Linked DNA regions of Mus musculus: all the other regions are reported to be linked to region 3. The links are microRNA targets in miRTarBase. Many come from high-throughput screens and were not tested one by one. Region 3 holds a microRNA gene; each other region holds the end of a gene's coding sequence.

Region 1 (5,091 bases), not on the chromosome of region 3:
TAGCAAGTTCTATGGGCTGCTTAGAGACCCTACCTTTAAAAAATGACCTTAATTACTCAGAATAATAATTAGTAATACCTTTCTGCTAAATGTGCAGTGGTTTCCACTTAAATTAAAAATAAATGTTTAAACGTTGCACATTTTACCCTAACTCTCCCACTGGTGAGAGGGAGCTTCCCTTAGGACACATAAGGAATTCTTATTGAGGAAAACTTATTTGGGTGCAGAAGTAAGAACTGAAGATTTTAGCTGGTGGTAGCAAACAAGGTGAAGGAACTAGGTATCTTTCTACCAGAGATGAGTTAGATACTCTGCAGCAGGTGTATGGGAGCATGCCACAGTCCCAGCCCTGAGCAGGCTGGAGCAGGAGGATGGCAAGCCACCGAGAAGAGAAAAGAAAGACTACGCTTACATACACTGGTACACAGTGGTTTCTAAGACGTGGGTACAAGGTCAGCGAGAACGTACTCACTTGCTCGTTTCCCACACATTGACAACTTCAGTCATTCCTGGTGAAATACGTAGGCAACCAGTTGATCCTGGAAGAGAGAATTAAAGGTTGGAGTGAAGAGAAAGATTAATTTTTCATTGCACATTTCTATGTTGTTTGCATTTTTAAAGCCATGTACTTTTCAAAAAACCTGATTTTTTAGAAAAAGAAAAAAAGGAAAAACTTGTTTTGCTTGGACTTCCCTGACAGGAGTGATCGACACAGGAACTGCCCCATTTGTCGCCTACAGATGACTGGAGCAAATGAATCATGGGTGGTGTCAGATGCACCCACTGAAGATGACATGGCTAACTATATTCTTAACATGGCTGATGAGGCAGGCCAGCCCCACAGGCCATGACTTGGGGAAGACTTTCTGTTGTTATTCTGAACTACAAATACACTGTTGTCGTAGAGGAGAAGGGGGGGATATTGTGGCACACACAGAAATATCAGTTTTCCCACCCTCTTATTTTTGCTATTCTGGTATGTCCCGTTCTTAAATAAACTCCCATGTCTTCCATGTATGGTGGGCTACAGTTTGCTACTGTTTAGCCATATTTCCCACAGTCCACCTATTCTATGTTGCTCTTGAGCCCTTTGCTACAGATAGCAGCAATACTTGACACTACTGCTTTTCAGGGAGGGAGGGACTGTTCTGGCATCTTTTTAGTAGGTTTAAGTTTTAGAGTGTTGACAGTTGTAGCCATCTGAGATAAATGACTGAAACTAATGTCTCAGTTGGAACCTGAGGTGTGTGTGCTCTGCCCCCTTGTGGTTCATTATGGATCCTTCAGTACTGTGGCCCAATTGCTTCCTGATGTTATGTCACTTTTGGCCTTGGGTTCTGGAACTACTTATTCTTTATGTTGCCATGATGCAGCACACGGATTAGGACTGTCTGGTTGGAACTTTGTCTCGAAAATGGACTGTACCGGAGGGATCTTCATGGCTGCTTTAGAAAGGCATCCCCGGACCTGGATAGGTGCCCGTTGGATTTTTTCATAATGCCCATGAAGCTTGAGTTTTCAGAAGGATTTTTTTCTTTTATAGAAACACACATTTTATATTTCCAGATTCCACAGAGGCATCCAGTCCTGAGCCAGACAGCGTTTATTTTAGGTAAAGACGCCTTTCTGAGGCTTCGGTTTCCTCAAATTTCTCAGATTAAAAGAAGAGGACGATCAGGTAAACCTCCTCACCAAGCAGTTGTAAAACCCTAAACTCCAGACCTTGATTGGCTTTCTTCCCATTTCTCTGCACTATTCAGGCATCTAGAGAGAGAACCGTGACAGGAGTGCGGCCTCAGTGACAGCCACAGTGGCTTATGGAGGAAGAACGTTAATGCTAACAGTGCAGCCTATAAAAGTGCTAGTGCATGAAATAAGTCCCCTGTAAGAAATGTTAGCGTTCCATAGAAGTCTTCTCACAGATTTTTGGCAAGTTTCAACTGTCCCTGTTTTCCTAAGTATAGATGTACACAATTGAAGTTACTGCTTATTGATTTTTGATTCAGATTTTAATGAATATTTAAATAAAATCCCTTTCAAAGAAAAAGATCTGACTTGATTCAGATTTTAATGAATATTCAAATAAAATCCCTCTCGGGGGAAAAAAAGGTCTGACTTGATTCTGCCCCCAAATACTGAAGACATCAATAGTCCATTCACTGTAAGGACAGGGCAGTGACACCAAATGGCTAAGCAGTCTGCCGAGCATGCGGGCAAGCACAGTGCTGTTGTCTGTCATACCTTAGCTGAGATGGTTTCACAACCCCGAGAAAGTCTTACTCTGTTGTAGGTTCTTATTGAGAAACTCAGATTGTATTTGTGGTTTTCAAACATTAGCATTTCAAGTAAGTTCTGAGAGCCTATTCACACTGAGTGCACACACACACATGCTACCCCGTTATAGAGAAGCTACATATTATTAATACAAGTTTCCTTACACAAACCTTAGTGTGATCGAGTTTAAGTCAGTATATGAAAATGTGAAAATGTATTGGTGATACAGTTACATTAGAATTTGTAAATGAAAAAACCTCTGTTTTGTAAAAATAATAACAATTCAGGGCTAGAGGTGTAACTCAGTTGGTAGAGTGCTTACCTAATATATATAAAGCCTGGGTTCCATCCCAGCACTGCGTAAAAACAGTGATGCTGGTGCACCCCTCCTACCCCAGCACTTGAGAGGAGGAAGCAGGAAGACCAGAAGGCCCAGGTCATCCTCCATCACAGAGTGAGTTCAAGGATAGCCTGGGCTACATTGAAATGCTGTTTCAAAAACAATTGGGATGGCTAGGCTAGAGAGCTAACTCAGTGGTTAAGAGCACTTACTGTTCTTGCAGAGGACCAGAGTTTAATCCCCAGCACCCACATTAGTGGTTTACAACCACCTGTATCTCTCCAAGGGCTCCAACACCCTCATCTGACCACCTAGGGCACCCACATGCATGTTACACACAGAGAGACACACTAGCAAAACAACTTTAAAACATTTTAAAATTCATATTCTGTCATATTCTGTCAACTTTCAAGTGCTCCATAGAACACATTCTCTAAGCCTTGGAATGAGTGATCTTCTGAGATGCTTTCTAGCCCTAAAATTGTCCTTTTGGATTTTGACTTGCTGGGTTTAATTCAAATTGTCTAATCTTAAAGTGTTTCAGAAATTAATAACATAGCTTTAGGGGTTGGGGATATTTCCAGCAATAGCCAATACCTCTATTCCCCAGAATCCTTCATTTTTGAAAGAATAGAAAGTGAGTCCAGTGACTTGATCTTGCCCACTGCCCTTTATTTAAAGTGTGATCTCTGGGATACTAACTGGTCTACTGTGAAGCGTCAGTGTCTCCAACTGCCTTATCAAGTAGTAAGCAGAGTTCTCTATGCATTCCATTGAACTGGGTGGTGACTCCAGATGTCAATAGTAGGTAGGGTTCACCATAGGATCTAATCATAAATTTGTCTCATGAGTAAAATGTATACTTTTTCTATTCTGTACAGCTTTGCCTTTATAAAATAAGAACTACATAAATACATTTACCATGGTAGGAAATTGTGTGCCTTCAGTGATGTGCAAATTGCCTCCTGCTTTAGGGAATTGTTGTAAATTGTATGTTAGTGCTGTGCTCACTCAGTAACAGCAGGTTGGCTCAAATGCTGGAAACGTTGGGTTTCAGAAAGAGTTTGACTATGTATTGATGTAAAGGCTGACAACAGCAAAGCCTGTTTTATTCTTAGGAAAAACTGATACAATGTGCAATAAGTAAACTTTGCAAGTGAACATTAGCTAACTAAAAACGTTTGCTTATGTAATTTCACATTCTTATATACTAAATATTTATATTTATTAGAGGACTGTTTTGTATTGTGCTCTGGGGGTTGTGTTGTTTGTGTGCTGTTTTGAGGTGATTTTCTTGTATTAATATACAACTGGGTAATAAGGCTGCTTGGAAACCTTTTTTTGGTTCCCTGATTTTTTAACACTGGGAAGTTGGATTCATTAAAAGATAGTCTGAATAACTTGCATCCGTAGGTGTTGGGAGTTTCCTTGCTTTGGGGAGAGGGTTCTCGACTGAAGCCTACTTTGTCTGTCGGCTCATCACCTGCATTTATGAGAAGCAACGTAACAGCAGTGTGAGCAGCTACTGTGACTTTGGTTAGCTTTTCTTTCCTAGTACCCGTTAGACAGAATAAAGGGTCCACACTGAGCTCTGCCAGTTCTGTGCTTTCCGTGTAAAAGAATGTCATTGGAGAAACAGAAGAGAGGAAGCAGAGGGAGGTGGCAGCTTCGAGTCAGGTTTGCTGGTGCCCGTCAACCATACTGTGGAGAAACCCGCATTACTATCAAAGCATAAGAGTCCTTCGGATACACTTTGCTAAATCCCCACTCTGTAGTCTCAGCTCTTCATCAGCTTCTGTTTTACAGAATGCGCCTTAAAGATGATCGCTCAGGAGCCGGAGGCTGTGGGTCTGTGGTGTGAGCCCCCTTTCCTGGTGAGACGGTTATTCTGACAAATCATGGTGCAGACACAACATTTAGGTGCATAAGCCATCACCCTCTGTGTTTAAGAACCAGAGAAATTGTGTTGTGAGCCCACCCTTCAGCAGGCAGCAGCTACTGAGAGAGCCAGCCAAGCACACCCTTAGACCTGCTTTCATTCAAGACTAAAGTGTGGATTCACGAGGCGGAGAGATGGTGCCGACTTTCAGCAGTACAGGCTAAGTAAGATATAAGGCAAACATCCACCCTTAGGAATTGTCCAGAGAGTACTGTCTGGAAACCTGAGCCCATATACAGTTGCCTTGGCTTCCGACTGTAAAACAGGCAAAAGGAGGGATTTACACACACACATACACACACACACAAACACACACACACGAGGATCAGTGAGCACTAGGATTTCATTAAACAAAGTGATAGAGAAACAGTCTGAGAAGCACCCTGGTGAACAGATTAAGACATCATCCGAGGCAAAGCACTCTAGATGTGGCTTTGCTGATGCTCTGTGGGACTGGCAGAAGCTAGGCTGAGGTGCTAGATGACCACGAGGTCACCTGAGCCGTAGCTTGCAAATTGTGGGTTTCCTCGTCAGTGCT
Region 2 (5,091 bases), not on the chromosome of region 3:
GTGTACCACCCACCTTGCCTTCTTGACCCCTTCTGACACTGGTCTAATTGAGTCATTAGTGACAAAATCACTGAAAACTTACATGAGAACTGGAGTAAGTGGTTTTGGGGTCACGGGGAAATCCTGGTGTCTTTGTTGTGGGGTAACCGTGTGGGTTTCAAGGTATTTTTATTCTGTTGAATAGTGGATTGTTCATGATCATTGTGTTATATGACCCTGCCTTAATGTTTTCCTCTTTAAATATGGAAGTTGAGCCATGTAGCAGTATTTAGCCAATGTGCCATGCCTTCTTGACCATGCTATAGTTGTGGTCTGGCAATTAGAATGATTTACTCAACGGTATAACCTCTTAAATCATCACTGGGGAAGCCTCAGGAAAGCAAGAATGCAGACTCACTGTTCACTTTGCCCCACAGAAAGACGCTGCTCTTTACTCTGCTCCAGTAGAACATGTTAGAGTCAGATGTAAGGGGTCAGAGGGAGGCAGAGGAAGGGGGCGGCACCCCCCTAGAGAGGGTAAGTTCTGACTGTACAATTTTATCCTTGTCTTCAGAAATAACTATAAGGATTACTCCCTGGAGTCCAGGCTACACTTCAGAATTCAAGCAGCTCTTCATCTCTGGAAGAAACCTTCCACGGACTGATCCGGAACACACAGGATGGATCTTCCCCCCCGGTTAACATTGACTCTTGCTATGGAGATCACTCTCTGTGTCAAGGTGGACCCATGATCCATCAAATAAGAAACAGAAAGCCTGCTGTCAGCCACTTCCTGTCATCGGAGTGGCGTACTGTTTGGTCTACATACTTTCCCCTCTGGAATGACATTTAATACTATACAGAAATTCTTATACTCTGCCTTCACTGTAGATTTCAATTGAGGGGGTGAAGTCTTTTAAAAGACTGGCAGGTACAATAAAGCCTAGTTAGATTATTTATTTTTTTAATGTAAAAATTAATATTGTTCAAATAGCAAATGGCTTTATCAGCTGAGCCATTTTTAGATTGGCTTGTCCTTTAAACTTCAGAGATATTTTACTGCTGTTTAAATCTCTGAGAGTAAATAAATATCACATCTATAATAGTATGACAGTGGGTTTCTGAAGATTCTGGAAGAGAGAAATGAGGGGCCTGAGGTGGGTGAAGTATTCCTAGGCAGAAGGGACTTGTATCTCAGCAAGATGTCACAGTTGTAAGTTTCAGGATTTCCAGTCCTCTCATTGGTTGAAGGTGGTGGCATTTTTCAGAAACTATCCTGTATTTGAATGTACTCATATCAGATCCAATAATAGCATTCAATCACATAGACACATTTCTCATGTATCTAAGGGAATAAAAAGCTGTATTTTAGATCTCCCTAAGCTTAGTGCTGAAGCCTGAACTACAGACTTCCATTGTGTTTCTTACAGGAAGGAGAAGCTCCTGTTGCTGTGAGTGATATGTGACATGTCAGTGATTGTTTACAGTCATGATGCTGCTGACCCAGGGCCATGGCTGCATCTTGGTTCTCTGAGTAGGAACCCGGATCAGAGCCTGAGCAGATGCCCTTCTGGGGTCCCCACACCTGTCAATCACCCTTTGTGAATTAGAAAGAACACGCTCATTTCGAGAAACAGAAAAGGCACAGATGGCTTTAATTTCTCTTTGAATTGTGTAACTGTGAGTCTCTGTGTTAGACACTTTCAACAATGCTTAGCATTAATCCAAACTCTTCCCATTAGAATATAGTTTCTTCAACCCCTCGCTCTCCTCCCAATCAACGGCCTATCAATAGTGGGTGTTACAGCTGAGGGCCAGACTCCACCCAGTGACAAAAACCAGTTAGAGTCCATGGACCTGGGCTTTTGTCTTGTTTCTATTATTTCCAAGACCAGTAACTTCTCTAGAGGGTAGATGGCTCCACCTTCCCTCGTCAGCGCCCCAGGTTTGTAGTTCTGAGTCTTTCTCTGTTGGTTAATAGTTAACAACATAAAGCAAATAACTTACCTTTTCCAGGACTTGGGTTTTCCAGTGGGAGAGGCAAGGTAGCACTCACTGCCTGCAGCCTCCAGAGCTGGTGCATTTGGTAGCTTTCTGTATACTGGGGAAGCTGTACACGGAGGAGTGAGTTTGATAACTATGGCCTTGCACATGGATTACAATACCTCTAGTATCCGCTGAGTCTGTGGTCTCTTGTCTACAGTGAGATGAACGTGAGCATTCATGACCTTTCAGTTTATTTATTTATGCATTTAGCACTGACAGTGGCCCAGATTATGGAGTTGCTCCTGCTGTCCCCGACTGCAGTTCCCCATGCTCAGCAGGCACTGGTGGCCTGTTACGTAAGGTGCCATTTCTTATTCAACATTGATAACACGGAGGCAGAAATCATTATATCTCACTAATATGAATCACACAATTAGCTACAGATAGTAGGGAAATAAATTGTCATGAGCTATAGAAATATGTTTAATAATTATATATATATATATGAAGAAAAGTTTATAAATTCTTTAGAAGAGCTTTGATAACGATATTTTAAAAACAATCTATTCATACTATTAATGTGATGGGGTGTGGTGGCACACATTGTTAATTCTAGCATTTGGGAGGCAGGGGCAGGCAAATCTCTGAGTTCGAGGCCAGCCTGGTCTGTTTATTCAAAACTCAAACCAACCAAACAAAAAGAATACCCATATTTTGTGAGAAACTATCAAAGCTCATGGTCTGTAAATTCCCATTCTGATATTAAATGAAAAAAATTAAGCTAAAAATGACTGTTTTAGAGACTGGAGGGTGTCCCGGCAGTTAAGGGCACTTTCTGCTTTTCCATAGGACCAGAGTTTGTTTCCCAGCACCCATGGCAGGCAGTCCTTAACTGTCTGTAACTCCAGAAGAGCTGACACTCGCTCTGGCCTCTGTAGGCACCCAAACACACATGGCATGCATTCACATAGAAACATACATACATACACATTAAGTAGACAATAAATCATTTTTTAAATGACTACTTTTATACTATCAAACAAATCTACTTGTGCTATTTTATTTTGTGGTTTTCTTTTGTTTATATTGCTCAAATTCTCTCTGTCAGCACTGTGGACCATCTATCAGTGGCTTTATAAGTACTGCAATAGAATTAATACCACAGAACTTTATCTATTTTCTGTCATGTTCAAGATACTGTACCGGCACCAATTTCTTAGGATGTTTGTAAGAATCATCTTTTAAAATCTGTTGTGATTTAAGATGTTTTGTGAAGAGCAAGTGCCTAAGAGACAACGTTATCTAATCATCTTTTTGAGGCCACGGGTAATAGGCTGGGTTTCCAGTATGTCTGATTGCAGTTTCTGTAGCTACCTGCAGAGGCAGTGTTCTGATCGGTGTTTTGTAAATGTAAGGATTGTATTTCAGAGCCTTGGGAGGGAAAGCCTAATTTCCTTGGGAGAATTGATGGAAGGGTAACTACAGCAACTCCCGAGTATATTTGACCACTTGCTCTGTCTGCACATAGGAGATGTTCCCTATTTACACTGCAGACAGTTGAGTGGCCTTCTAGTTGTCCTGAGGACAGGAAGAGACAAGTGGGCAGGAGCTAAGGGAGATCAATTCAGATTCCTGGACACTGCAGCTGTTCGAGCAATCCAACAGCCCAACCAGCTCCTTGGGAATGGAGTGAATTCAGCAGTTCTGGTGACTGTCATCCCGCCCTGGTCTGAGTGTCTGTCTGGGTTAATTGAATTGGAGGTCAGCTCATTCTACAATGCTTTGATCGGGGTCTAAAATCTGAGGTAGGGAAAGGTAAAAAGCAGGTACCCTCTCTTCAAATAGAAGCGCATGTTCCTTGTCAATCATTCTACTGTGATGGGCACTAGTGTCATCTGCTATTGTGTTTGTTATGGGTCTGGCTGGCTCATCTGTCCTGTGCCATCTATTCTGGGTAGATCCTTGTTAGTAGAGACCCGCACCCTGGACAGTAAAAATAATGGAAAAAGTCTTTATGATCAAGTGGAAAACTAATCCTGGAATTATTCTGCTTAATTCTCTGGACATTTTGTTTTTCCTCTTCCTTTCTTTTCCTTTCCTTTCCTTTCCTTTCCTTTCCTTTCCTTTCCTTTCCTTTCCTTTCCTTTCCTTTCCTTTCCTTTTCTTTTCTTTTCCCACTGGTTTGCCAACTTTGTATTCCTGAATCACCAGTTCTGGTGCATTCAGTTGGAATTAGTTCATGAAGTAACTGAAATTCTAAGCATTTGTGATTTATCAGGTCTAGAATGGATCTTAGAAAACTACATTGTCCCTTTCAGCCTGTGAGCATGTTGGGCCTGCTGTTCTCTGTCTACTGCAATAGCAACTTGTCAGCTGTCGCTGCTCTACTCTTGCCGTGGCCAGGGGACCTCCCTCTTACACCATGTTGTGTCATACATCTCTCAGTGGTTTACTTTTTCCATCCCGTGTACTGGGCAGATGATAGAGCTCCGTGGCTTGTTTGAACATTGGCCTTTACCCACCTCTCACCCCTGTGAACTTCTTGTGTGCCATCTCAAAGTCTTTATTTTTAAGATTACTAGGTTATTTTAGAAACTATCTTCGATGTCACAGCTGTTGGGGTTGTAGAAATATTTGTAGATTTCATGAGTAAGACAATTTATGAAAAATCTAGTGACCCCTTTGCAAGACTTTGGCATTATGGAAATGCTAACATTGGTTCTCGTAGCTAGCCCATTATACTATTTAAAGGTTGTTAGGCACAATTTATTTCCCTTAGGGAGTAACATAAAAGGTGACTTAACTAAATTTAAATATTTCATGCCTTCCAGTTGCCTATTGTGAATATCTTGAGTGTGTGTGCCTAAGCGATATACATAATACAAGTTTTAATCTCTTTAAGCATCTCTTGATTAGATGCAGGGGTAGCTCTAATGTATCAATAGACCGGTATCAGTAAGTAATATAAAATAACCCATATTGGATAATCCTTCATGCCCTTTTAGGATGAAAGCATTTCTCCGAGTTACTTTCTTCCTCAGAGCCCAGTTGTCTACGTACTTTCCTTTATGTATTAGCTGGCCAGAACCCTGCATCTTTAGTTAGTATTTTTTTTTGGCATATTGT
Region 3 (5,000 bases):
CTAAAAGGAGCTGGTGATGCTGACAAAATGCAAACAACCTTGACCGAAACCACAAGACACAGGACACAGACCTGTGCTCTTCTGAGATGCCAGTATCAGGAAGCAGTAAAGAGACAGCACAACTAAATGTAACACACATTCTGGCCTAACTAATCTGGGGTTTTTGTTGCCCTTAAGGATACTTCTAAGCAGTTCTGGAGAACCTGAGAGAGCCGATAGGTCAGGAAATGTACTGAAAGGACATTCATTTACTGACTTTGATAGTTACAGTGTGATTATGTAGAACAACATTTTCTTTCATTTCTTTTTCTTTTTAAAACTGAGATAGAATATGGCCTGGAACGCCTGCGTAGTCCAACTGGCCTCAAAACCCCGAGTGCAGGTATTACAGGGTACAGCACCATACTTGGCATGTTTTTATCTTGTTGTTGTTGGTCTTGTTTTTAAATATATGACATAAACAAGTATTATCACAAGATCCTCATGGATTACGGCTGGCTAGAGTACTGGTTAGCTCACCTGGTTCCTGTCCCGAGCATTTGTGTACCTGATCTTCTGAATGAAGTAGAATATGAGCCACGCTGAAGAAATAATCATCAAAACAATAAAGGAGATTGACACGAAGACTAGAGAGCCACGGCTGAAGTTCTTTGGCGGCATTCGAGTTCCAACAGCTATTGTCATTTGTACAGAGATGTTTTTCTCCAGATAACTCAAAATATCCTTACCCCTCAATTCTGTTATCATGACAGCAATAATATCTCCCGTGCCTGTAATGTAAAACAAATACACAGACTAAAGTGACATCTGAAATTCATAGACACATCAAATAAATATACACATATGCTCCATAGAGAAATTACCATAATTTTCACTAAGGTTTATAGATTCCAGTTCAACTGACATGAGGCTGCAGCTGTGTAAACTGACAGGCATGAGAACATGTACAGTGCTCCAAACAGGTAACGCATAAAGCAACTGTGGTGTTAACAATGCACAAACTGCCTTACCGGTGCATTAGAAGCACTGTGAAAGCAGCCACCTGTGACTAAATCAGGTTAAGTCTTCAGTAGAAAACCTTTCTATAGCAATCAATCTGGAAAGTTCTGACAGAGAAGCACTGTCATTTACAGTCTGAACAGGTGGTCCTTGCACTACTCATCCTCACACGCACTGCTGAGCAAGGACTGCTCTAAGAAACAGAAAGAAGGGTACTTCTTAGGGCACACACTTGGCTATGGAGTGACAAGTGCCGAACGGCAACATCTTTTACCAACAACCTTTGAAACTAACTTTGGTCTTCTGTCTACAGTAAAGCTCCTTCCAGGGCACTTCTGGAGCTCAAACGCAACAATTTTCCCACCCAGTTTGGAGCCAGCATCTCACATTGCCTCGGCTAGCCTCAGACTTGAGTTTTATGTTAGTTTTCCACCTTGTTTAACCATGCCCAGCGCACTCAAATCCTCTAGGCAGGCCCAAGTTTCAACTTTCTGGACTACTACCCATAATGATACCTAAAACCTTCAGTTCCTAAAAGCTGTTCAGAGTTCTGCCCACAGGCACAACTTTTATAAGTTAATTACAAGGATGGTTCAGTTGTGTTTTCAAGTCCTTTTCTCACATGGCTTCAAGGGCCTGTTTTAAGTCAGAGTGAGCAGCTACTCACCAAGGTCACTTTTGTGAGTATGAAGGAGGATTGTGCATCCAAACACAAAATACCCTCTCAAAACAGCAAGCAGAGACCCCAGACCTGACCTTTTGAAGGCTCTGTCAACAAATATTAGAAACACTTGTTTTGATTTCTTGTTACCTTTAGCAGTCAAGATGAGACACAACAGAAACTCAGTAACAGAAGTTTTGAAAAAAATATAGCTCAATGGAATATATATTTGCATAATACTGTATTCAAAACGGTTTATTCACTTTATTAGAGTAGTAGTTTACCAGTTTATTTTTGCTTAAAAAATCTATAAACAAAAAGGAGACAACAAAATTAAAACTAGCATTATTAAGTTAACATCTGCCTCTGGTGAGTGAGTTAAAAAGAATCATAAAAGAATGCTAAACCAGTTTAAATTTCCATTTAGAAACCTTAAGTTTGTGCTTTTACAATGTTGATCAACAGGCATGATCTGTGGTGTTAAGATACCAGGTATGGCTATAAAGTAACTGAGACGGATCCCACAAACGACATATGACAATCAGTCTCATTGCTTTATAATCACACCAAGTACAATTGGTTTTAGAAATCAGTTCTGAGGCTCCCTCTTGAAGACTCAAGCTGGAAGTGGGGAGAGCTGCACAGGTAGCCAAGGCAACCAATCCAGTAATTTCCTTAACCGAACACTAAATGGGCGCGTCAACTAATCTCAACAGGAAGCTGTTTGGGAAAGAAAAATTTAATTAGTTCAACACTTGTCAATATTCACTGTTAGGAGGACAAGAGTGAATAGATCTCACTGTAGCTTTATCATCCTAGCAAAAAGAGGAGACTGGGCAATGTTGCCAAAGGAGACTGAAAATGATCAAATAAAAAAGTACAGCAGCACATCTGATATTAGTGAAGGCAGTGATCTCTTACAGAAGGTGATGAAGCAAACTACAAACCCTCCTAGGAAAAAAGTTTCTTTCTCCCCAACATCTAGAGCTGGGCTGGGTTCAAAGAGCCTAACAAGATGGCTCAGACATTTACAAATGGGGATGGGACTAAAGAGATGGCTAAGAGCACTGGTTGATCTTGCAGAGGACGAGGTTTGGTTCCCAGCATCAATATGGCAGCTCATAACTACTGTAACTCCAATTCTAGAGGGAACAGACACTCTCTTCTGGCCTTCGAGGGCTCTGTACACATGGTGCACATAGACTCATGCAGGTATACACACACACACACACACACACACACACACAATAAAAAAGTAAATAAACCTTAAAAACAAAACAAAAAACTCTTGGGAGAGTTGGTGCAGATTCAGGAGGGATGATGACAACAGAGGAAACTTAACCCTCAGGATAAAACTAGGATTAGAGTAGCAGTAGCTGGTAGGAGAGAGGGGTTAATTAGACTGAAGTAATGGAAACATTAAACAGATACAAAGAATGTGACCAGATCACCCCTATGCCTGTGTTCTGAAACACCAAGACATGGCTTTGGAGTTCAACAATCATGCAGCTATGTGTTCCTTTTCTACTGCTGTGGTTAAACATCATAGCCAACATAACGTATACAAGGAGGGGCTTGTTTGGCTTATAGTTCCATCATGGTGGGGAAGAATGGCAGCAAACTGTAGGTAGGAACTGGATGCCAAGAACTCACACCTTTTTAAAAACACTGTTAATTTCAATTATGTGTTTATGTGTGTAGCTTTGTGCATGCAAGTTATAGTTGCCTGTGGAGACCAGGAGTCACAGACCCCCTGGAAGGGGGGATACGGGCAGTTGTGAGAGACCTGTTGTGGGTGCTGGGAATTGAACTCAGGTTCTCTCCATGAGCAGAAGAATGCCCTGGAAACCTCTGAGTCATCTCTCCAGTCTCACATCTTGAACCATAAGCACTAAGCTGAGAGAACAGCAGTAAATTTTGGGAATCTTTAAACTTTCAAAGCTGGACTCTACTAATACACTCCTCTTCCAACAAGGCCACACCTCCAACACATCCCCAAATGATACCATGCACCTGAGACCAAGTGTTCAAATACGGGCACCTATGGAAGATTTTCTCACTCACACCACCATAGCTAGTATTAATTCTTAGAGATGGCAGTGAAATAAAGAATATTATGAGTATTATTATAATCCCAGCACTCTGGAGGCAGAGGCAGGTAGATCTCTGTGAGTTGGAGGCTAGCCTGGTCTATAGAGCGAGTTCCAGGACAGTCAGGGCCACACAGAGAAACCGTGTCTTGAAAAACAACAACAACAAAAAGTTATTACTTAACCTCATGTTTATATGTATATGCGTGTGTATCTACCTGTCACTGACTCCCTGGAACTGGTGTTACAGGTGACTGTGAACTGTCCCATATGAGTTCTGAGAACCGAACTCTTTGAGAGAACAGTAAGCACTCACAACTACTGGACCATCTTGCTAGCCTGCCAATTTATTCTTTAATAGGAATTTATGTTGTTTTAGTAACTTAGCATGGCTACTTAAATTTGCAATTCTTCCCTGTAATTCTTCCCTTTTTATTCTGAGAATTTTCTTTTCTTTTTTTCTTCATAATTTACTTATTTTTATTCTATGTGTATTGGTATTATGCCTGCATATACAGACGTTCGTGTGTGAGAGTGCCTGGAACTGGAGTTATAGACAGTTGGGAGCTACCATGTGGGTGCTGGGAATTGAACTCTGGTCTTCAGGAAGAGTAGCCAATGCTCTTAACTGCTGAGCTATCTCCCCAGCCCCAGTATTTTAGGAATTTTCAAATGGAACAGTTTCCATAGTATGGGAGCTTTCAGATAATCTTTGTTTAGATTTGCAAACAGGAAACACTTCTGCCTTTCTACACGAATTTTTTTTTTTTTTTTTTTTGCTGGACCAACTGAGAGCAGATTGTAACCAATAGGACATTTCAATCTTTAATAATTCAACAGTTCTCCTAAGAACAAGGTTACTTCAGATGCACACAATTTATTAATTATATTAAACTTTTACTTCTGATAAAATGTATTTAGTGTTTAATATACTTCGTATTCAGCTATTCTGACTCAGCCTAACAATTCAACCAAGGGCTATGGACCCTGTACCTGGTTGTCTTGTCTCATTAGTTTTCTGAAGGGCTCTAGCATGCCCATGGCACTGCCAGGCCTTGCCTTTTCCCTCCCTCTCTCCTGTAAACCACAGATTATATCCCTAAAGCTAGGCATAAAGGCCTATTCCCTCATTTGGACATTTTCTCATGTAGACTCATTCCTGAGGCTATAAAGGTCCACCAATCAAAACCCCCATGTTAATAACATGACCAACAAACCTTATCACTACATCCTAGCCCACTGTAACACAG
Region 4 (5,091 bases), not on the chromosome of region 3:
CCTGCTAGCTCCAGCTTCAGCTCTCTCTGACTTCTCTCCTCCAGTGTTCTAGAGCTTCCCTTCTGCTCAGAAATCCAAGTGACAGCTCTGTCACTAGTCTTTGTGTCCTGAAGTGATCAGTCACCTCCCACCCCTCAGCCCCCACGTCTCATATTCTTCACTGCAGCCCATTGCCCAGGGAATACCCCATCTCCATCACACTAACCCTAGAACCCTGGGGGTTTCAGTGAACAAACTTGCCTGTCCACTGTCTGGAGCTGCCCTTGAGCCCTTGTTCTAGGTGTACTTGTGGTGGGATGGACGACACTTACCATGACAAGTTGCCTCGCTCTCAGAAAAGCTTTTTAAATGAGCTTAAAGACCACCATAACCAAGCCTACACCCACTTTAGTGAGACTCTGTCCCTTTAACCCCTTCCTGCTTCAGTCTAGTCTAGCATTGACATTTACTGGATATAGTAGAAAAATAGTTTGCTCATTTTTATGAATGGATTTCAAGTAAATTTCCCACTCTTAAAAGGTTTCTTTATTGCTATCTTAACCTTGATTTTACTACCATTTAAAACATCCTCGAAAAACCCATAGTGTTGCAATAGTTAGAACAGAAAATGGGAGTTGATGGCGTTGTTTTGTTCTCTTATACAGGAGTGGTAGATCCTATGGCTCAGACAGTGAAAGTGACAGAAGTTACTCTCATCACCGGAGTCCCAGCGAGAGCAGCAGATACAGCTGAGATGTCTCTGTACAGATTGTGTCTTAAGTGTAAATACCTGGTAACTTAAAGCTTAAGAAACTGGATGGCAGTCTGTTGTGTTTTAGTATTAGACCTCAATCCTATAGTGGATATTTCTTGTCACTTATTTACATGTGCGCAAAAGAATTTAAAGTGCAGATGTCCCTAGAAATATTTCTATGACCCATTTTACAGTAGGCAACTATGGAATTTTCATTTTCTTGAATCAAGAAATGGTAAATTTGATGTAAGTATAATTTGCAGTGTCACTGTAGATAGGGTTTTCTGTAGATCACATTGTCTGTAGAATTCAGGTTTCTTTTTGTTTCAGGTTTTAGCATCCATGCTGCCAAACACAATTATGGAGAGCTGTCACAAGACACGTGTTCTCCATGTCCCCATGTCCCCATGCTGGTTGTCGTCTTGGTGTGTGCTGTCAGATGAGGCTGTCCACATCCATATTGACCATGGCCAGGTGTGCAGGGTGGTAGCTCATTCCTCTGTGTCCCAGCTGTGAGCACCCACACTTCACAGGGAATGCCAGCCCAGCCACCCCAGCTCCTGCTTTGGTGCTTGGTGCCTTTGGTTCCTCGTATACCCTATGTCATATTGTCACATACTGCATTTCCTGATGCCAGAAAATGAATTGTGATTTTTTTTTTTTAAATTCACTGGCACCAAAAATAATTTCTTCTGAGCTGGGTTCACTGTGAGTGTAGGGGCTTCTTCCAAACACAGATATGTGGTGGAGGTCCCTTGGAACAGAACCTGTATGGCTGGTCATCTTGTTCTGCACATGTGTGCTAAAGTGCCAGCTGAAGAATGTCCTTCAGAAGCAGCTCCACAGACACTCCAGCCAAGCTTCACTCTCACTGTGGCAATAGTAGCAGCCCTGCCCCAACCATCCTATTCCCTGTTTGTGTCGAGACACCCCCCACCCCCACCCCCACGCTGCCCCCTGACTCCATGAAGCCCTGCCTGATGGAGGAAACCCAGGACAAAAGTTGGGGGCAGCAGGGTCACAGGCTCTGCTGCACAGAAAGGGGTTCTTACGGCTTTGTGTGGCTCCTCCAGGAAGAATCTAACCTGTAAAAACTAGTGTGGGTTTGTTTCTTTGTTTTGTTTTACTCTTTAGTTTGCATTCTTTCCCCAAGTGTACTTAATCACCTTAGTGCCGGTTAAATCCAGTTCACAGACTTCCTGTCAGGTATATGGTGTAGAAGTCTGTACTCTCCTATCCCACCCAGGCCTTGCTAGTGCATTTGGGAAGAGTAAAGGCCTTGGGCTGGAGGAAATTACTAAAGCCCTGGCCAGATGGAGGGGAAGTACTGGATATATGAAAGTAGTCTTCCAGGGCCATGTGGCTCAGTGATATATAGCATGTGCTTAGCATGTAAGTAGCTCTGGGATCAGAGGTCAGCACCCCACAAATAAATAATGGTGTTACTCTGTGATGTATGTAAGCAGCATTTTGGTGGCCAGCCAGCTATTGTTCACCATGTCTGTAAATTAGTTAATTAGAAGGATAACATCGGAACTCAGTGCTTGGCGGGTTAGACATGTGGTTTATAGTGAGTGGGTCCTTCTACCCCCCCCCCCTTTAAAGTTGCCTACAAAGAAGGGTGTTTGAATCTAGTATTCAGTAGGAAGAATGCATTCAGAGCCCAAATAAACTGGCAAATGTAATTAGTAAGAAAAGGTCACTATTGGGCCATATATTCTTATTTGGTTGCTGTGTAACAAGTTATCCCAAATTTCTCAGCCTAAGAGTGCCTATGTGTCATTGACAAACAGGCAATGGTAGGGTTGACTCATCTGCTCAGGGTCTCAAGGTAAGGTCTGGAAGAGCTCATTTCTCAGAAGACTCTGGGAAGACGTGACTTGTAGCTGGGCCCCTCTAGAGCCCTCGGTGGATGCCCACATCGCCTGCTGTAGGCCTTGCCAGCTTCAACCAGCAGGGACCCTTTGAGTCTTGTCTTTTTTTCAAAACCTCTGCCCTCCTCCTGCTTTAAGGGTCCATGTAAGTAGATCAGACTCCAGAGATAAATCTCTACTCGAAGTCCCGTGGCCAGAGGAATTACAGACATTGTCGGGTTCTGGGGATTAGCATAGCAAGAGGAAGGGCATCCACCTACCACCTACTGCTGCATGGACAGGGCTTAACCTGTACCAGCAGGCACTCATGTTCAGTAATGTCAACCTTGCTGTTTATACTCGACTGAATACAGAAATGGCTTTTCTTCTTATCCACGATCATTCTGTATTTTGAAGTTATTTTTTTAATAAAATTGAATTATGTTGTGTAATGTGCTTAATAGAAAATGCTTTCTTTATTGGATGATTTTGTAACATCCTGTTTACTGCAAGTGGCATAGTTGATATTGTTCAAAAATGTAGAAAATACTTTTGTACATACTAGCAATGTCTAATTTGTATATACTTCTATGAAATTTCTCTACAACTTGAAAAGGATCTTGTAGAAATGAAAATACATGCTGAGTTTGAGCCTGCCTGCTTGGTCTTTCTTTGCTCAAACTCCAGTCAGTTTCTGATACAGCCAAGCGAAGAGACTTGTCCATTGGCAGGTTACTGGGGTGCAGGAGTGACCTGGGAGAGCCTGGCAGAAACATACCCTCTGGTGGGATGCAACTCCAGGTCTCCTCCCGCTGTCCTCTGCAAGTCATCTGACTGTGGCACCCATCATCACTCACCTCCTAAGACAGACCATGTGACATTTGAACATACAGGTGAGGACCTGCTGGCTAAGCAGAGTGAACCTGCTAGCTTGTTTGCAGAGAACTGGGTTTGCTAAACAGTGTTTCCCCAACTTGGGAAACTGAAAATTGTCGAATGTGGGTGTTTTATTTTTTATTTAAAGAAAATGCCAGGTGTGGTAGGGTAGTGCACATCTTTAACCCCAGCAGAAGAGGGTGGATCTCTTGAGTTCAAGGCCAGACAGAACTGCATAGTAAGACTCTTTACTCTTGTGGTGTGGTGGCAGGACAGCCAGGGCTATACAGAGAAACCCTGTCTCGAAAAACCAAAAAAAAAAAAAAAAAAAAAAAAATATTAATTAATTAATTAATTAAAAGCCGGGCGTGGTGGCACAGGCAAAATACCCATAACTTGTTAAAAAGACAGGTCAGAATGTCTAGCTGAGACAGATTACTGGTTGCTGTAGTCTCTCGGGCACCTCGAGGGAGGAGTTAGAGCTCTGCATTCAGGAATCAGTACACCACAGCACAGGCTGCATTCTGAGGCCTGGGCCTCTTGCCATAGCTGCTTCCTCCCTGTGGTTTACAGCAGCCCGGTGTTGTCTTCTTCAATACCAAACCTCATACAAGCAGTAAGACCAAACTCCTGAGGCTGAGGCACCTGGGAGATACCAAGGCAGAATGTGGGTTTTAAAAGGGCCAGAACTACACCTATGTCCACTGAGCCCTAACCCTGATCCCTGCTGCCCACATGCAGATTCTGAGGACCATTGTCTCTGCCCTAACTTTAAGAGGAGTCTGCCTCCCTGAAGACTATGTCTGGAAACACTTAGGGCTCAGAAGACCTCTAGAACCCCCACTACTGGGCAGACATGTAGGACCCGATGGTCTCTGCACAGCAGTGATGGACGTAGGCCTTGACACTGCTGCTGGTCACATCTGAGTTAAAGGGATGGGGGCTTCCGCAAGAAGTACCACGGCCCAAGGTTGTGGAGGACTAGGGTCTCTGGGAGCCTTTTGGAAGTTAACAGGGAGGCTCTCCTGTAAGGCCCTGGACTTGGTGTGGGAAAGGGAACCTGCTGGTTTGCATTAGGCTCCCACCCTTGTGCAGCTGTGGCCCATTAGTGCTGGACTCAGCAGCCAAAACTGAGGGAGATGGAGGCCACGTACTGTACACCCTCCCCTTCCAGCCTGCACCACCCACTTTTTGGACTGCCTAACTTGCATTTCTGTTACCTGGTGAGCGTAGTTTCCCCAGCCAAGTGCAGGAACCCCAAGCAGTCTGGGGTTGTCTCCTTGTTCTCCAAAGTGAAGTTTGGCCTGGAGTCACTCAGCTTTAGGGGTCTAAAGCACCCACCTCTATCATGGTAATGAGTGCTCTGGCCCCTAAACCAACCAACAGAACTTGAGGTTGTGGCCTAGAATCCTTCCTCTGCTCCCATCTTGTCCCTCCAGTTGGCTGTACCCCATGTCCAGACCACTCAGTTCTGCAGCCATGAACACAACGGGGCTTCTGGCTTTTGCAGCTGTTGCCAGTGACAAGCCCAGTGTGCCCTCTTGCCCTCAGTCGGAGTTCAGAGAACCCAAATGAGACAGCAGGGGGTGGGGTAGGGGTGTCACTCCTTTACCTTAGCCAAGGCCAGTA
Region 5 (5,091 bases), not on the chromosome of region 3:
AGGAAGGAGTCTGGATTCTAAGGCAAAGGGTTCTGCCCTGGGCCTGCTGCCTGGCTGTCCTCTTTGCTCTTTTCTCCTCCCAGCAGCAGTGACAGAAGGCAGGGCAAGGCCTTCATCATTTGCTGCCTTCCTTTACTGAGGGGCTTGAGGGGCTGCTCGCTCCACAGCTCTCCCTGAGACTGTCTCGCTGGTAGGAACCATCTGCTTTTGTTCTTGAGGGTTAGTGTGTTCTGCTCTGTCTCCACAGACCCTCTGATGGACACCCTGATGACCGATCCCGTGAGACTGCCCTCTGGCACCGTCATGGACCGTTCTATCATCCTGCGGCATCTGCTCAACTCCCCCACCGACCCCTTCAACCGCCAGATGCTGACTGAGAGCATGCTGGAGCCAGGTAGGAGGCCAGTGAGTGCAGCCAGACCGTGCGGGAGACTGAGAGCTGGCCGGTGCCGCGAGGCCTGTAGTCCCAGCTACCGGGGTGGATGAAGCAGAAGGGGAGAGCCTGTTCATGGCAAGTAAGTTCCGACAGTGTAATTACAACACTGTCTCAAACAAAAAGGAAAAGATGGCTGGGCCTGCACAGAGCCCTTGCCCAACTGTGTACATTCCCAGGCTCAGTCCCCAGCACCACCACCAGGAAAAGGGACATTGGATCCAGAAAGTACCCAAAAGCCACAGAGCACTCCGCTCACTTTGGCTGTAAATGTTTCCCTGTCCATGGCTGTTCCTTCTGCAGTCTTCAGCGCCCACAGGGAGTGAGCACCGTGGACTCTGTGTCCACGCAGATAGAACTGCAGTGGAAGAGCCTGTCATCCGGGTCATTCATCCCCTGTGCTTTCTCCCTCAGTGCCAGAGCTAAAGGAGCAGATTCAGGCCTGGATGAGAGAGAAACAGAGCAGTGACCACTGAGGCCCCATCGCTCCTCCGCTGGAAGCCGCCACGCCAGCCAGCCAGGCCGCAGCAGCATCTGCCTCGAGGCTGCAGCTCCAGCCTGTAACCAGATGTGGCCAGATCCTGAGAGCCCACCCGTGTGACCAAACAGTGGAGATCTGAGGGGATGACGAGAAGAGGATTCCTGTACATATATTTAAGTGACAACAGTCAAAGCTTGAGGGACGAGTTTACGATGGCTTGTGTAGTAAAGCGCACCCTTCGCCTGTCGCTACCTGGGGCTGTGGCAGCGGAAGTGTTTAGTGACAAGTGGGTCTGGGCAGCTTCCCCTGAGCTTACGTTTTGTTTTGTTTTGTTTTTTCGATGTGAATAGAGAACTCGGACATTTTGCTGCTAAACAATCTCCCCTCCCTCACCCTACTTGCACTGCTGTGGGTTTTTTAAAGAGAAACAGAACCAGACTCCTTTCCCGGCCCTCCAAACATGTATTCTGTGCGATAACTTGTGCCTGCGACAAGTGTTAATCTTGGGATCGTATTTTTATATCATATTCACATACTTGTTTTTTTAATTGGTGTTAGATGACATGATTAATAAAAAAGGCAAGATATTTTCAGAATTTGAATTTCAGTTTTTTTTTCTTTTGAAATAGCCCTTTTAAATTTTTTTATTATAAACAAAATGAAGAGAACCCTGTGAGCCTGGTCCTTCTAGCAACCCTCAGTTAAGATCCTGAGGGACAGGTGCAGCAGCAGCTGGCTGGAGTGGATCAGGACTCCTGTGACTCGTGGGGCTCGGGGGAGGTGAGGGGTGTGTTTGGTTTTTTGTTGTTTTGTTGTTTTGTTTTAATCCTATGTGACAATTCCAACTATGCGGTTACCCTCTGAGGATAAGTTCCTCAGCCCGGGGTTCTTTTATATGCTGTGTCCTTTTGGGGTTTGACCTTACCAAAGCAAAGAAACAAAAAACAAAAAAAACAAAAAAAAAAAAGGGTGCAAGAAATGTGGAAATCTGTCTGCTTGTTTACATGGCCCGACAACACCACCTAGGCGCACGCGAGCAGAAGCCCTCTCTGTATTACCGCTCCCTACGCAACATACTTGAATTCTTGAGTTCCCTTTGGGGTGAGAAAGGATTTGAAACCATAAAGTGTTTTAAAGAAATGAACTCTTCAGAAACAGACTTCCTCCTCTTTTCCTTTCTCCTCTGCTCCACAGCCTGTGCTCTGTTCAGTTCCCAACACAATCGACAATAAACGGTGATGCCCATTCGGAAGGAGCCTCCTGTGAGTCGTCTTTTTGTTGAAAGAAATGGGTGGGGAAGGCTGGCATGGTGGCGCACACCCTTAACCCCAGAACTCTCAAGAAGAGGCAGATGGATCTCTGAGTTTGAGGTCGGCCTGGTCTACATAGAGAGTTCCAGGTCAACCTGGCACACATAACAGGATCCTGTCTTTATAATGTAATATATATGTATAAATATGTATATATGTGTGTGTGTATATATAAACATATATATACACACACATGTATATATATGTGTATGTGGATGGATGGATGAATGGATAGATAGATAGATAGATAGATAGATAGATAGATAGATAGATAGATAGATAGATAGATAGATAGATAGATAGATAGATGATAGATAGATAGATAAAACAGGGCCAAAGAGATAGTTACAAGAGCAGAGAGGGACCCCGGTTTAGTTCCCAACACCCATAGCTTGCAACTGCCTGGAAGTCCAGATCCAGGGGCCTAGACATCTGTCTCCCATGACACTGGGCACACAAATGATGCACGTGCATATACACAAAGCATTTATACACATAAAGGACGAAGGTCCAACAAGAGCAGGTGTCTGAAGAAATGTTCTTTCTGGAGCCAATTAGAAATAGCCTTCCTTTAAAATAAAGCACAGCGGGCCATTGAGACGGTTCAGGGGATAAAGGGGCTTGCTGCGCTCATTCCTCTTGGAAGGAGAGCACAGACAAGTTATCCTCCGTCCGCTACACAGGCTGTAGCACACTGGCATCATATGTATGGTAAGTAAGCAGATGTGTGAATTTAAAGCTTTCTCATCCCCGTCGTCCACATCCCTGATGTGCCACGCTGTTCTCGCTTCACTTCTGGCGTGAAGGGACTCCGCTGTGTCCTCTGCTCTCTGCCTGGCTCTTGATGTTACCTTGGAGATCTCAAGTGGCCATGACTCCTACTCAGGTCCCACCCACTTCATTACCACTCCAGTTTGCAAAGTGATTTCTACCAGCACAGGCGCTAATAATGCCAGCTCAGCTATGGGAAGCACTTAGGTGCCACTTCTGTGTGCCAGGCTGTGCAAAAGCCTCATCTTTATAGTGCCAACCTCAGGAGAGACAGTACTGCTGTGTTTCTGCTTGGTTTTGCTGCCATGGTCTTCAGGAGGTCAGGCTGCGGGCTGCAGAGAGATTCGGTAGCTTGCCCATTGTCTCCTGGCAAGTACATGGCTCTCAGGCCCGTGAGGTCCATTTCCTTATGAGTTCTTTTCTTTCTTCCTTCCTTTCTTTCTTTTTTTTTAAGATTTATTTATTTATTATATGTAAGTACACTGTAGCTGTCTTCAGACATTCCAGAAGAGAGCATCAGATCTCATTACGGATGGTTGTGAGCCACCATGTGGTAGCTGGGATTTGAACTCAGGGCCTCCAGAAGAGCAGTCAGTGCTGAGCCATCTCTCCAGCCCATGAGTTCTTTTCTTGAACACATTGAGCTCACCATCCCCTGCCACCTCAGCCCCAAGTACACAATCTGGGCTAGGATGTAGCTCAGTTGGTAGGAACATCTGCCTAGCATGCAGGAAGCTCTGGGGCAATCCCCAGGATTGATTGTTTGAAGATAGGGTTTCTCTATGTAGCTCTAGCTGTCCTCAAACTAGCTCTGTAGACCAGGCTGGCCTCGAACTCACAGAGACCTGGTGCCTCTCCCTTCTGACTGCTGGGATTAATCCCCGTATCTTAAAGATGATCATCATCATGATCATGACAAGACACAAAAAGGAAATTACTGACGATTCCACCATTGAGGTGATTCTGGTCAGTTTACTTTTTACAAGCGTTTTACCCACAAGCCTATGAAGTTAATGATGTTAATTAATTAGAAGCATGCCTAACGCTTACTGGTTTCACAATTGTGGGTTGCTAATCTCTCCATCCCTAAGAGGTGCTGTTTCTGTCCCGTCAGTGGACAGCTGCTGCTTCCCGTGGGATTTTCAGAATTGAAGGGTTTCAAGAGTGGACTTATGGAAAGAGGGTGGGGCAAGGATGCAGCCAATCTCTTTGCCTCTAGGGGCGTGGTTTGAATTTTTCTTTGATTCTTAGAGTAGCTGTTTCGTGGAAATTTATTGTTTGCCTCCAGCCTGCTAATTAGAGGTGATGGGATCCAGAATATTTCAAAAATAAGTCTGGTTTAGAAGGAAGATTGTCGGACTGAAGAGATGGCTCAGTGGTTAAGAGCACTGGCTGCTCTTCCAGAGGTCCTGAGTTCAACTCATGATGGCTCACAACCATCTATAATGGGATCCGATGCCCTTTTGTAATGTGTCAGCAACACCTTACTCATATACATAAAATGAACAGATTTTTAAAAATTGTCCGAAAAGGAGAACTTGTATGTTCTCAGCAGAAGGAAAGTCCTTGAGAAAGGAACGAGAATGACATCATGCTCATTTTCTGAGTCACTGCTGAATGGGTAATGACAGGGATTGGGCACAGTGCCTCTTCTCTGTCTGTCTAGGCAGTGCTGAAGGTCCAACTCAGGACACGTACATGCTAGGCCGGCACTTGACATCCAACTAGGCAACATCCCTGGCCTTTAGAACAGCCTTTGAACCATGAGTGTCTTACGCGGTTTGCTTTGCACTTGGCACATTGAACGGTGAGTTGCCAGCTGTTTCAGTTGTGCCTTTGGTGTGACCTAGGCATGGTCTAAGTTTTTTTAAAAGATGCATCTGCTTTTATTTTATATATATGGGTACTGCCTGCACCACATGTGTGCAGTGCACATATGAGTCAGAAGAGGGCGTTGGGTGCCCTGGAACTGGAATTACGGTGTTTGTGAGCTGGGTATTGGATATGGCACCAAGGTTCTCTGTAAGAGGAGCATGTGCTGCCAGAGCTCTAGCCCTTTCAGAAGCTTTTTTTCATTGTGGAAACATGAGCACAGT
Region 6 (5,091 bases), not on the chromosome of region 3:
TGCTGTGTGACTGTAGTACCTTTCACGTAAACTGGAGTCCTACATCTACAGACCTAGAGTTGAAGAAAGTTACTCAGCTTTTCCAGGAAGTCTGAGAAAGAAGGACCTTACTGTGTTGTAAACAGAGTTTGAAGGATTCCATCATGTTTCAGCCCCCACCTTCATCTCCGTGGCAATGTCTTGGCCAGAGCTAGGGTATTCCATTGTAGCCTGGAGGCTGCTTCACTTTACCTTCTAGTTGATTGGCATTGTGTTTTTACCTGTCTTACTAATATAATAGCTATTTCATAGACTCATCCGATTTGTAGCTTCAAACTATTTTTTATGTTTTCCTCTCTGTTTTTAACCTTAAACCAGAACAAACCCAAAGGATTTTGCTTGAGTTTTAATAACTGATAGAATAAAATAAGTGCAGTAGGGAATGAAGTTAGCCCAGGCAGGCATGGTCCTTGGGTTAAGAAGCCTAGGGGAAATTCAGCATCGAGGCAGCGCTTCCATGTAAGGGTGGCAGTGTCCAAGCAGAGCAACTGTGCAGAGGTAACTTCCTGCAGCACCGTAGAGGTCATGGAAAGGATGGACGGCCTTTGGATCTTACTGAAGTTGACTTCCATCCCTAAAGCTGAGTTACTGTACAGTTCTAATGTTTGAATTTTCTGTTCTAACACAGGAAACTTCCTTTTTTCTACAGTTCATTGAGCTTTTTTCCTTTCTCTTATTCTCTCTAGCATTGACAAAATCTCTAAGATAACCTCTCCAGTATTAATAATTCACGGGACTGAAGATGAAGTCATTGACTTTTCCCATGGCCTCGCATTGTTTGAGCGCTGCCAAAGACCTGTGGAGCCCCTGTGGGTTGAAGGGGCAGGACACAATGACGTGGAGCTTTATGGACAATACCTTGAGAGGTTAAAACAGTTCGTGTCACAGGAACTGGTAAATTTGTAAACTACTCTGTAAATTTGCAGACTGGGTTTTCTTTTCTTGCTGAACTGCACTCCTTGGTAAATAACATAAAACCTGAAGGTTTTGTTTACAAATCATGTAAGTTGCCTTCATAACTGTACAGGTAATGATTTGTTAACAGACTTAATGAAGGTTTTAATTACCATAACTTGAAACTGGAAATAGCAGTATCATGCAGTCAGGCTGTGTAATTTATATTTTTTCTGTGAATTTTTTTTAAACATCAAGATGAGTACTGTATGAAATTTTAATTCTATAAAATCAAATGCTGTAAAAGTATTGTCAAATGCTTTTGCATATCAAAAGCAAATTTATAAATATTTTTAAACATCTCAATGTACTAAATATCCTGGTATACAAATGTAATATTCTTTCAAAAAGCTGTATATCTAAAGCAATTCAAGTACTCAGAATAAACTGTAAAAAACAAAACGGTTTGAAAACATCCAAATTGAGTTGATATATACTCCACTGTACAGGGATAGAGGCTTAAATGGTTATTTTATTGTTAAAAAAAATGCATTGACTTTTCTGTATTCTCCAATTATAGTACATTTATCCTTTAAAAAAATGAAGTCTTAATTTTTATGCCATCTGTTAACTTAGCAGCTCTTCATCCTGTCACTGAGAAGTCCTGATGGCGCTGGATTTTAACTAGTTCTGACTTATGTTTGGTACTGTGAGACAACTACTTAACATTTTCATTCAGTTATTTAAAGGACAGTTAGGGCTTCAAGAATGATTTTGTATGCAATGTTGTTTTAAATTTGACTAATTATTAGAACTGTAGTAGTCTTCCTTATATGAATACTTGAAACTCCGTTAGTTGATCTTCAAGACCACAGAGAGACTGGCTGTTTGGTTCCTTTCCACCTCTGCTGTTTTTAAGAGTAGGGCCTGTTCTTTTGGAGTAGTATCTGAGAATGTCATGGGTTCCCTCCTGAATGCAGGGGATAAGAAAACATGCCATACATTTTATATTAACCAGTATAGTAAAAAAAATAAAATAAATAAATAAAGCTCACACACAAAAACTAAGTTGCCTTTCCTTGAATGAATCCTGCCTGAAAAATGAAAGAAAAATAAAAAATAAACTAATGGTATATAGTCTTAATTTGTAATGAATGAGAATCAAAATAATACACACTGTGGATATGTTTTTAAGGCCTTATGTAATTTTAATTGTTCTGCTTGTTCTGTGGTTATGTCTAAGATTATAGTACACGATCTTCAAAGTATATCAAATATTGTGAATCCTTTGGTTCAGCTATGTCAAATTCACAGTAAAACAACAAATGTACCACTCGGCTGTGCTTGTGTGCCTTCTTCTGAACTCCTCACCCCCACAGAAAGAGGAAAAGTCACAACACCTTCCTGAAGTTTTCTGTATCTTTAAAATTTTGTTTTAACATTCTAAGTATACATTTAAGAAGGTTGCTTTGATATTTCCACATATGTGAATGGCTGTAGCCTTCTGTTTTCCACCACCTTCCAGGTCTCTTAACAGTAAGAATCCTGCATTGGTTTGGTTTGGTTTGGTTTGGTTTGGTTTGTTGGGTGATTGGCTGGTTTGATTTTTTTGAGACAGGGTCTCACTATGTAGGCCTGGCTATCCTGAAACTTGCTATTTGGAACAGGCTGACCTTGAATTCACAGAGGTGTGCCTGGCTCTGCCTCCCGAGTGCTGGGGTCGAAGGTGTACACCACCACACTCGTCTTCAGTATTCTACTTATAGATCAACTGTTTTAGATTCTGTGTGGAAAAGAAAACATCATGCTTATCATTCTATACCTGGCTTATTTACTTAACATAATCATCTTTAATTTCATTCATCTTATTGCATATGGCAGGATTTCATTCCTTAAAGTAATGCTCTGTTGTGGTTGTGTGACACATTTCACTTGTTCACTAATCTGCTTGTTACCATACTAATTATTTAATTGGCCAGAGCCTGGGCTCTGACATTTTCAAGAAGCCAATTAAACAGTAGTAAAAAGTAAGTCAAAAACAGAGGTCCACAGAGCCCTCTTTCCAGGTCCATCTTTGGAGTCCTGACATTAGGTTTAAGTAGAGGGCGAGGATATGCATAGCTAAATAGTGCCCGTTAAAGAGTAGTCCAGCCCACCACTGTCTCAGCTCCTGTCTCTCTAACTGTGGCCAGAGGTAAGGTCAGAGCTTGTTCCCTAGCAGCCCTAACAAGCCAGGCTTGGCATACATCTTTAATAAGCCCATTAAAAGATCCAGATTAACAGTGAAAAGCAGAGGCAGGTGGTGGTGGCACACGCCTTTAATCCCTACACTTAGAAGGCAGAGGCATGTGGATCTCTGAGTTTGAGGCCAGTCTGGTCTAAAAAAATATACTTTCAAGGACAGCCAGGGTACACAGAAACCCTGTCTCAAAAAAACAAAAACAGACAAAACAGTAAAAAGCAAATTTACTCAGTGTGGTCATACATCTGATTTTTACTATTGTTTCCTGTGTTTAGGGTCCTATCCAAATAGCCATTGCGGTTACCAGTTTCTCAACTATTTCATTTTTATTTTCCCTGGAGTTTGAGAGTGTCAGCTCTTTGATTTAGGCCCTTGATCCACCTTGAGTCTGTTTTGCATAGAATAGAAGAGAGGAGCCTCTTGCCATCCAGCTTCCTGGTACTGTTTATTGAAGAGGCTGCCCTTTCTCCTGGGCATGTTTGTGGTGCTTTTGGTGAGAATGAGCTCGCTGTGAGGTGTGTGTGTGTGTGTGTGTGTGTGTGTGTGTGTGTGTGTGTGTGTGTGTGTTTCTGTCTGTCTCCATTGATAGAGGGGCTGCTTTAGGCTGATAGCATGTCAGGTTTGGTTGGTAGTGCTCTGACACACCTTGCTTTGGTCATTTTGCCCAAGATCGCTATTTGGAGGCTTTTGTGCTTCCATGTGAACTTCAGCATTGTTTTTTCTAGTTCTTAGTTCTGTGAAGAATAACAATACTGATATTTTGATGGGGGTTGTGTCCAAATAGAGATCACTTTAAGAAACGTGGACTTTTTTAAACAATGTTGAGTCAGTGACTATGGAAGGTATTTGCATTTTACTTTCTGTGTCTAATATTTCTTATCAGTGTTCTGTAATTATTACAGAGGGCTTCTTTGCTTAAGTTTTATGTCATTTTCTTTTGTTATAGTTGTTGTAAGACTGCTTTCATTATTTTAGCAGATTTCTTTTTGTTATTATTTTATCTTTTCTTGTTTTTCAAGACAGGGTTTCTCTGTGTAGTCCTGGCTGTCCTGGAACTCACTCTGTAGACCAGGCTGGCCTCGAACTCACAGATCTGCCTGCTTCTGCCTTTCTAGGGCTGGGACTAAAGGCATTAGCTGATTTTTGTACTGATATATAGAAAAGCTATTAATTTTGTATCCTACAATATTGAATTTGTTCTTTATAGAGTCTTAGGTTTTTCTAAATACTGCATCATCTGCACAATGGAATAATTTTATTTCCTTCCTATTTGTATGCTTTTTGTGTTCCTGTGTGGTTTGTCTAATCAGATCTCTTTGTGAGGAGGAACTGTGTCCATGGATGCCTCTTGTTGCTGTTGATTCTGCTCTCAGCTTTTCCCCACTCACTGTGACCCTGACTCTGGCTTTGTCATATGTACTTGTTAGGTTAAGGTGGCTTTTCTGAGTTTGTTTAGGGTTTTTAGCACAAAGCATCGTTGCACTTTATCAGATCCTTTTTTGCATGTTGAGATGATCATACGCTCTTTAATCCTTCATTCTGTTAGGTGATTGGCACGCTCATATCTCTAGGACTAAGCCAACCTAACATGGTTTTTAAAAATACGATGTTGAATTCAATTTACTACCATTGTGGGGTTTGACAACAAAATTTAAATTCTCTTAGTTTTAGAAACCAAATGTCCAAAGGCAGGATGTTGTGAGAGGCCCTTCATTGGCTTGCAGATATCAATGTTTCCTTTCATAACCCCTCACTGTCCCACCTCTGTGTGTGTACATCACTGGTTGTCTTATTCTTTGGGCAAGATTTCTGCATCTCTGTTCATGAGGAATATTGATAGTTTCTTTGTGTGTTGTGTCCCTGTGTGGTGCCAGCTGCTTAGAATGGGTTTGTAAAGTGCCTCTGTGACCAATACC

Evidence for each region. Region 3 holds the annotated microRNA mmu-miR-340-5p (UUAUAAAGCAAUGAGACUGAUU, at 2,200-2,221, opposite strand). A microRNA usually pairs through its seed, bases 2 to 8, with sites in the 3' UTR of a target mRNA and lowers its output. Matches are read on the target gene's strand: a 7mer-m8 pairs with bases 2 to 8, a 7mer-A1 pairs with bases 2 to 7 and ends in A, and an 8mer does both.
Region 1: the mRNA of Rnf141 is a reported target of mmu-miR-340-5p. The part of its 3' UTR that is shown has no 7-base or 8-base seed match.
Region 2: the mRNA of Ttc39b is a reported target of mmu-miR-340-5p. Seed matches in the 3' UTR shown: 7mer-A1 at 2,481-2,487 and 8mer at 3,097-3,104.
Region 4: the mRNA of Nktr is a reported target of mmu-miR-340-5p. The part of its 3' UTR that is shown has no 7-base or 8-base seed match.
Region 5: miRTarBase lists Ube4b as a target of mmu-miR-340-5p. The part of its 3' UTR that is shown has no 7-base or 8-base seed match.
Region 6: the mRNA of Abhd17b is a reported target of mmu-miR-340-5p. Seed matches in the 3' UTR shown: 7mer-A1 at 1,274-1,280.

The regions. Positions count from the first base shown.
Region 1 is chr7:110,812,460-110,817,550 of GRCm38, reverse strand. It overlaps Rnf141 (ring finger protein 141), which reads left to right. Exons shown (of 6, transcript NM_025999.3): 6 at 701-1,016. The coding sequence ends at 851. Among named protein-coding and RNA genes, the nearest start is that of Rnf141, 29 kb to the left of the region's middle.
Region 2 is chr4:83,222,687-83,227,777 of GRCm38, reverse strand. Ttc39b (tetratricopeptide repeat domain 39B) reads left to right here. Exons shown (of 20, transcript NM_027238.2): 20 at 554-5,091. The coding sequence ends at 644. Among named protein-coding and RNA genes, the nearest start is that of Gm46887, 39 kb to the right of the region's middle.
Region 3 is chr11:50,066,941-50,071,940 of GRCm38, reverse strand. It overlaps Mir340 (microRNA 340), which reads right to left and starts at 2,239; the gene lies at 2,142-2,239. Rnf130 (ring finger protein 130) reads right to left here. Exons shown (of 9, transcript NM_021540.4): 3 at 520-770.
Region 4 is chr9:121,753,601-121,758,691 of GRCm38, forward strand. It overlaps Nktr (natural killer tumor recognition sequence), which reads left to right. Exons shown (of 17, transcript NM_010918.2): 17 at 645-3,241. The coding sequence ends at 732. It overlaps E530011L22Rik (RIKEN cDNA E530011L22 gene), which reads right to left. Exons shown (of 1, transcript NR_033503.1): 1 at 3,040-5,091. Among named protein-coding and RNA genes, the nearest start is that of E530011L22Rik, 3.8 kb to the right of the region's middle.
Region 5 is chr4:149,325,494-149,330,584 of GRCm38, reverse strand. It overlaps Ube4b (ubiquitination factor E4B), which reads left to right. Exons shown (of 27, transcript NM_022022.3): 26 at 248-394; 27 at 848-2,169. The coding sequence ends at 909. Among named protein-coding and RNA genes, the nearest start is that of Ube4bos3, 6.6 kb to the left of the region's middle.
Region 6 is chr19:21,683,373-21,688,463 of GRCm38, forward strand. It overlaps Abhd17b (abhydrolase domain containing 17B), which reads left to right. Exons shown (of 4, transcript NM_146096.3): 4 at 726-2,265. The coding sequence ends at 945. Among named protein-coding and RNA genes, the nearest start is that of Abhd17b, 33 kb to the left of the region's middle.